Ovis aries: one gene and its partner. The protein of the gene in region 2 interacts with the protein of the main gene of each other region in a pairwise test. Links are inferred from orthologs where the notes say so. Each region holds a gene or a part of one and is shown on either strand. Other genes may lie near its edges.

What was found.
Region 1: the proteins of RAD54B (region 2) and RIBC2 interact in a two-hybrid assay, tested with the Homo sapiens proteins (2 studies listed by BioGRID and IntAct). The two-hybrid records come from large-scale screens. The link is inferred for Ovis aries from reciprocal best matches to the Homo sapiens genes RAD54B and RIBC2.

The regions. Positions count from the first base shown.
Region 1 is NC_056056.1:221,716,312-221,720,698, forward strand, and holds the start of RIBC2 (RIB43A-like with coiled-coils protein 2), read left to right. Parts: upstream 1-1,483; 5' UTR 1,484-1,663; coding exon 1,664-1,777; intron 1,778-2,598; coding exon 2,599-2,680; intron 2,681-4,387. Other genes in the region: SMC1B (structural maintenance of chromosomes protein 1B), read right to left, coding at 1,214-1,322. UniProt on the Homo sapiens protein: Microtubule inner protein (MIP) part of the dynein-decorated doublet microtubules (DMTs) in cilia axoneme, which is required for motile cilia beating.
Region 2 is NC_056062.1:82,873,794-82,877,435, forward strand, and holds part of RAD54B (DNA repair and recombination protein RAD54B), read left to right. Parts: intron 1-768; coding exon 769-1,030; intron 1,031-2,504; coding exon 2,505-2,571; intron 2,572-2,758; coding exon 2,759-2,956; intron 2,957-3,642. UniProt on the Homo sapiens protein: Involved in DNA repair and mitotic recombination. May play an active role in recombination processes in concert with other members of the RAD52 epistasis group.

The sequences.
Region 1 (4,387 bases), on a different chromosome or scaffold from region 2:
AAAAGACGGACTTAGTAACTAAGCACATTCTTTCACATATACTAAGTGCAAAAGAAAACCTTAAACAACAGCTGTTTTTAAAATGCAACAGAAAATTTACACTTCCACAATAATTATATTCCAGATTTGGTGTGCCCAGAAGGCACACATTTAAGTGCCTCCTATTCGTGTCTGACATATACATTAATTTACTGAGGCAACAGGTCTCTTTCAACTCAGAAAAGGTTTCTGAGCTAAGAAAGGAAATCTGGACTGAGAAAGCCAAATTGGAGTCTCCAGATTTGGGAAAAATCTCAAGGTCACTATTGTTTTAGAGCTTACTCCCACCTGCTTTGGGTCATTAACCCACTCTTTCCAATCATGGAGCCAAGGTGAACCTGGCCAGGCCCCAATTCCAGTCCAGACTCTGCCACTTACTGGGCAATCTTGGAAAGTCATCTGGACCCTCTGAACCTCAGTTCCCTCCACTGTAAAATGGGAATTATATGCATTTGTGAGGATTAAACAAAAAGAAGGGTACCAGGAATTTGGGGAAAGCTCAATTATCGCAGTCATTTCCATAATATTCCTGCGAGGGTTCCTTGGATCCAAACAGTTGTTCAAGGCCCTTGAAACCAATGACTTCCTCCCAATCTCACTCCCATTATGTCCTTTTAGATGAGAAAGGGAAGGGGATGGAGAGGAGACCAACCACGGCTAAGGGCAAGAGGAGGAACCCACAGCGCAGAGAAGCAGGGGTGAAGGAGAGGAGAGTCCAGGGTGGAACCCTGGGGCTGGGGCTGCAGGGCGGGGGTCTGGCCTGGGTGCGGTCTGAGGGTCAGGGAGCTGGGGCAGCGAGTGAGGGCCAGGCCCCTGGGGGTGCGGTCTGAGGGTCGGGGAGCTGGGGCAGCGAGTGAGGGCCAGGCCCCAGGATGCGGTCTGAGGTCAGGGAGCTCGGGCAGCAGAGGAGGGTCAGGCTCTCGGGGGGTGCAGTCGGGGGGCCGGGGCCGAGGGGAACGGTTGGCCGGCGAGAGGAGGCTCCCTGCCACTTCCAACCCGCCCTGGATGGAGTCTGAGGGTCGCTTCCCACCCCATCCATCATCCCACCCTGTCCCTGAGGTGGGTGGCGAGGGTCGAGCCTGAGACCAGGCCTTGAGGCCTCCCTCACGTTTCCTCAGGCAAGAGGCGGCTCGGCCGACTGCGGCGGGAGAAGACATTCTAGGTCCCGAGTTACCAGAGCCGTTGGGGCCGATGATGCAGGTGAACCTCTTGAAGGGGCCTATGACCTGGCGGCCCCGCCATGACTTAAAGTTCTCCACAAGCAGCACTTCCAAACGGCTCATGGCTGCGCCCTCCGCGCCTCAGCTGTGTTCTCTCACGCTGGCGGGAAAAGCGCGGGAAGCGCCTCGTGCGGTCTCGCGAGAGGAAAGCGAGAACACCTGCGAGCCCTGCGCTGTTTCTTAGCAACCGGAGATGTTTACGTTTCCGAGGAAACCGAGACTCCAGGCCTCTGGGGCAGTGAGAGAAGGCCGATTGAAAGCCTCTTGGGCAGGCTCGCATCCCACCTGCCCGGACTCCTAGGGAGCCAGCCTCGCTGGGCTTGAGCTAGTTTTATTTTTGTTGTTTTCTCTCTTAATCTCGCATGTTTTTGAAACCTTTTAGAATTTCTTAGCAATTCGCAGTCATGGAGGTAGCAGAGCCCAAGGACCTGCAGGAGGATTTTGTCCTGGCCAAAAGAAGATATGCAGAGCTGGGCAGGCAGAAACGGATTTTCAACGCCAGGAACAGGGTCATCGGGGTGAGACCCTCCGGATCGGAAGGGAGAGGAGCCAGGAGGGAATGGTGGGGGAGGGGAGGGGGACAAGGGAGCGGGGGAAACAAGAGAGGCGAGCAGCGAGCGGCAAGAGATGATGAACTATTGGAATGAAACTTGTGATCCAGGCACAGCCGCGGACGGATCCAAGCTTTGCCGGGAAGAATTGTTCCACGTATTGAGTTTGCGGAGAATGAGGGAGACCTCAGAACAAGACCGAAAAATGCTCCCTGTCACTTGCCAGTCAGGCAAATTGAGTCCTGCAGCGGGGAGCGAGCTTACCTGGAGTTAGTGGCCAGAGACTGGAATGCGATTCTCCTCTCTCTGAGCCAGACTTTCTACATTGCCAGGGATTTCCTCCAGTCCATTCAACAGACAGATGCCAGTAGAGAGAGTTCTTATTTTGTGGCAAACCTGAGCCAGGCCTTGGAGATGAGGGATAAGACGATCCTTGACTTTGTGAAGTTGATAGCCCAGTGGATGAGGCAGGCGTTAAAATGGCCACATTATAATGCAGGGAAGTCCAGGCAACTAGGGCTGGGAGAGGAAAGCAGAGAGGGCTTCCCGGAGGCTGCTGCTGCTGCTGAGGAGGTAATGCTTAAGTAGTGTTCTGAGGATGAGGACCTACTGACTAAGAAAGGGAGAAGGAAGCTCTAGGGAAAGTTAAGACAGGCTGAAGAACCAACAGAGGCACACAAGGGCATTTGGGTATGAGACGATTTGGTTTATAAAAAAATAAGTAGGATTGTTATCAACTGAATAAAATTGTCTGGCTCTTATTCTCTCCCATTGTTTTCCTTACCCAGGGTGACACCATGGCCTGGGATGCTCAGGTTTGTGACCAGAACATAAAAGCAGCAACTTTAAAAGCGAGAGAGGAAGCCTTTGGTGAGCATTCTCTGAATGGCCATAGTTCAGGGCTGTGTGCCTTTAGACCCAGGTCACATTCCTCATGTATGTAAAGCCTTGTCATTTTCACGCTCTTCTTCCTTTTAAAATTTCAGTTTCTTGTGCTCAGTTAACTTAATGCACCAATTCTTCCACACTTGAAAATTAGCTATTGAATTCTATATGAGTAGAAAATATATTGTGTGCAGATATGTAAATTTTTCTGTTTTCTTTAAAAAACTAGGTATGAAAAACCTCATACACACACATATTCTCTGCCAAAAGCTCAAGACCTTCTACCAGGGACAGCTGGTAATAGTAGACAACACACACTATTGAGCCCATACCCCAGAGCTGACTCAGAACCAGGCACGGTTCAAGTAAAAGTGTTCTGGCTTGTGGGTCAGATTCTCAAATAGTATTCATTTCTGCCCCAGTTATGTCCAACAATGCCTTTTAAAGCACCATAAGGATTTTTTGAATAGAAAAAAAAGGATACAAAATTATATGTACAATGGGTTATCAATTAAGTTTAAATATATAAATATACATCAGTTCAGTTCAGTTCAGTCACTCAGTCGTGTCCGACTCTTTGCGACCCCATGAATCGCAGCACACCAGGCCTCCCTGTCCATCACCATCTCCCAGAGTTCACTCAGACTCACGTCCATCGAGTCCATGATGCCATCCAGCCATCTCATCCTCAGTCGTCCCCTTCTCCTCCTGCCCCCAATCCCTCCCAGCATCAGAGTCTTTTCCAATGAATCAACTCTTCACATCAGGTGGCCAAAGTACTGGAGCTTCAGCTTCAGCGTCATTCCTCCAAAGAAATCCCAGGGCTGATCTCCTTCAGAATGGACTGGTTGGATCTCCCTGCAGTCCAAGGGACTCTCAAGAGTCTTCTCCAACACCACAGTTCAAAAGCATCAATTCTTCGGCGCTCAGCTTTCTTCACAGTCCAACTCTCACATCCATACATGACCACAGGAAAAATCATAGCCTTGACTAGACAGACCTTAGTCAGCAAAGCAATGTCTATACATAAGTTAAAAATATATAAAAATATGTTTAGAAAAAGACACCAAGGAGCTATACCAAAATATGAGCACTGGCACATTTGGAGTGATGGCATGATGAATGAAGTTTACTTGCTTCTTCATCAGGTCAGTTCAGTCGCTCAGTTGTGTCTGACTCTGTGACCCCGAGACTGCAGTGCGCCAGGCTTCCCTGAGCTTCACATCTCCCCGAGTTTGCTCAAACTCATGTCCATTGAGTCAGTGATGCCATCCAGCCATCTCATCCTCTGTCACCCTGCTCTCTTTCTGCTCTCAATCTTTCCCTGCATCAGGATCTTTTCTTCTTTATAGTGTTTCATATTTTCTTTTAAAATTGTAGTGTAAAAGTAATTGAAACCTGTGATAAACCATAATGGAAAAGAATATAAAAAAGAATATATATATATATATATGTATAACTGAATCACTTTGCTGTACAGCAGAAATTAACACAGCAATGTAAATCAATTATACTTCAATAAAATTTTTTACAAAAGTAATTCAAACTTACAGAAATGATGTGAGAGACATACATATACCTACCACCAGACTAGATATGAACATTTTGCCAACTGGCTTTAGATATCTTATATTGAGAATGATTTTTGAGAATTAAATGTCACACAGAAGTAGCTAAAGCTCTCCTCCATCT
Region 2 (3,642 bases):
ACCCCACAGACGGCAGCCCATTGGGCTCCTCCATCCCTGGGATTCTCCAGGCAAGAACACTGGAGTGGGTTGCCATTTCCTTCTCCAATGCATGAAAGTGAAAAGTGAAAGTGAAGTCGCTCAGTCGTGTCCGACTCTTCGCGACCCCATTGACTGCAGCCCACCAGGCTCCTCCATCCATGGGATTTTCCAGGCAAGAGTACTGGAGTGGGATGCCATTGCCTTCTCCTGCCTTTATAAAATGTGACTGTGTGAATGAACTTGTATATCCCTCTTTGGGCACTTAGGTTTCACTCCTAAACACGTCACCATTCCACTAGTCTCTGTTTTCATATATAAATCTCTCCTTGTTTCATCAAAGATAGACTTTGTGTTTCTGTTTCTTATTCTTCTGCTGTTCTTAGGGTGACTTAAGAAAGGTAACGAAAGCAGAAAGGTATTTACTCCATTATCTTTATACTGAAAGTCTCTTAGATTTCTTTTTTCTTTTGCCACACCATGTGCCTTGTGGGATCCCAGCTCCCCAAACCAGGAATTGAACCCATGCCTTTGTCGGTAAAAGCACAGATTCCTAACCACTGAACTTCCAGGGAATTCCCTCTTAGATATTGACTTTAAAATGGAATTTGAAAGAGAGTCTACATTTTAATTATACAAATTCTGTTGGATATTCTATAAATATCAGTGATAATATTACTATTTTTCTCTAATTAAAAAAATCCAATACTGCTTCCTTGTATATGAAGATTCTTTCTTTTTGATTGACAGAGTCGTGTTGGTATCCAACTATACACGAACCCTGGATATTTTACAAGAAGTCTGCAAGCGTCATGGATATGCTTATACAAGACTTGATGGACAGACCCCAATCTCTCAAAGGCAGAAAATTGTTGATGGCTTTAATAGTAAATACTCTCCTGATTTTATTTTTTTGTTAAGTTCAAAAGCTGGTGGTGTGGGGCTTAACCTTATTGGAGGATCTCACTTAATCCTCTATGACATTGATTGGAATCCAGCTACTGATATCCAGGTAGGACTGTTTCTATATTAAACAAACAGTATAAAATGCCAAAGGGGGATACGGTGCCTGCGGGGATATGAGGGTGATGATGAAGTATAAGAACTGCTGCATATTCAGCCCTTTTTTTGTAGCAGGCATTCCACTAAATGCTTTACATCTGTCCAGTCCTCACAGTAGTCCTACAGGTGTGCATGCTGTAAGCTCCGTTTTGCAGATGAAGGTATGGAAGCTTGTTCCAGGTCACATAGCTTGTAAGAGGCAGAGTCAGGATTCACACCCAAGCCTGCATGTCTCCAGGCCCTACTTGACTCTAGTTAGCGGGGCCTTCAGGATGCCCATGGCCATCAGGGGAAGACAGCAAGGTGTTAGTAGGCGCCATGATCGGTGTTCGTGTAGGGTATAGTGAAGATGCAGGATTAGCTTCCTTAGGAAAATCTCTCAGAAGCAGCCTTTGGTTTTCTTCAGAGTACAGTCCATCTTCACAGATTTTGAGGTTTCTACCTATAGATGTGCACCTCACCTGGTAGCTGTGTTAGGGGACTGGGAGACAACCCTCAGGTTCAGTGATTCACTAGAAGGACTCACAGAATCAAGAAAAACAGTTTTACTCAAGTTAGGCTTTATTACAGTGAAAGGATACACAGGAAAATCAGCACAGGTAAAAGGTACTTAGGATGGAGTCCAGGAGAGAGCAGGTACAAGCTTCCAGTTTTCCTTTCCCTATGGAATTGTATGGACAACACTTAATTTTCCTAGCATCAGTGAATGACAACACCCATGGAATTTTGTCAACCAGAGAAGTTCACCTGAGCCTTGATGTCTAGACTTTTGTTGGAGGTTGGTCAGGTAGGCACGGATTGGCCTCTGCAAAGGTCAAACTGGCCCAAGTCCCCACCTAAATCACATCGTTAGCATAAACAGCTCTATGGCCCAAGACCCCAGGTAACCTAAGATGCTTTTATCAGGTACAGTATTCCAGGGGCTTCCAGAAGTTGGTTGAGGGCCATGATTTTCTTTGGAATGTTCAGGGTTTGAGCATCAACTTTTTACTAAATAGTATCACTGATAAATCTTAAAACCTCAGGGATCTGCCTAGAGCCTGAGCTGATTGCAGGTATCCTAAGGTTCCTTAGAAGTGAATCATTAGCCTGTTGGACCGAGAATAAACCCTCCATGCCCATGCTATCCTTGGTTCTTTGCATTCTTACTTCCCAAACTTGCTATCCCAGTTTTTTTTCGATGCAGATAGACCCTCTCACTGTTGCATGGCATCCTGTATTTTACAGTACCATAGCGAGAGTTCATCCCTTTCTTTAACTCAGGAAAAAAAAATTGAAGTGGAGAAGGCTTAGTTATGCCTGGGCTTTGGTTTTTGAAGCTGTAAGTGAAATCTAGAATTCCTAGTCTTAAATTTATGAACACAAGTTGCTTATGTGGAGAAGGTTTCTATTTTACTTTCAGAATTCTCATTTATTTTCTACAGGCAATGTCTAGAGTGTGGAGAGATGGTCAGAAGCACCCTGTACATATTTACAGACTCCTAACCACAGGTAGTAACCCTTCAGTATGAAAAAAGGTGTATTCTCTTTGAGTAAATAAAGGTATTTTGTGTGTTAAACTGTGCTTCAGTACCAGGAATATTATTTTGTTAGCTAGTATAATAATAAACATATTTTACCCTACCAAAATGCCAGTTGTAAAGATCTGAAGGAAATCTAATGAATGTTTTCTCTTCAGGTACAATAGAGGAAAAGATCTATCAAAGACAGATCAGCAAGCAGGGTCTTTCTGGGGCAGTTGTAGACCTATCCAAGACATCTGATCATATTCAGTTTTCAGTGGAAGAACTTAAAAATTTGTTCACATTGCATGAAAGTTCACATTGTGTTACTCATGACCTGCTTGACTGTGAGTGTACAGGAGAAAATCATACAGGTTAGTTGTATTTTAATTCTGTTATGATGATGAAGTTAATTGGTCTCTCTTTAGCAGTTGAAAATATTTAAAAACAGAATGACTAAAATATTGACCACTTGCATGTTAGTTTCTTTTTTCTTCAGGTCTTAGGGCAGCTGCAACATGGATATTTGAAAAATTTTTTTTGCCCCCCCCCCCCCCCCCCGCTGCTGCCTTTTGTTTTTAATTGGAGGATAATTGCTTTACAGTGTTGTGTCGGTTTCTGCTGTGCGACAGCATGACTCAGATATAAGTGCACATGTATCCCCTGCCTCCTGAGTCTCCCTGTCACCCAGCCGAGATGCGCGTGCTGCACAGCTGCTTCCCGTGCAGCTGTCCCACACGTGGCGCTGTTGATCTGTCAGGGCTGCTCGCGCAGTCCATACACGCCCCCTCCTCCCCAGCTGGTCCACAGTCTGTTCTCTTCGTCTGCGTCTCTGCTCCTGTCCTGCACATAGGTTCGTCAGTACCGTTTTTCTAGATTACATATGTATGTATTAATATACGACATTTTCCTCTTTTTAACTTAACTTCACCCTGTATAACAAGCTTCAGTTTCATCCACCTCACTTCAGCTGACTCACATTTCTTCCTCTTTATGGCTGAGTAACATGCCATTGTATATATTTGCCACAGCTTCTTTTAGGTCAGTGGACATCTAGGTG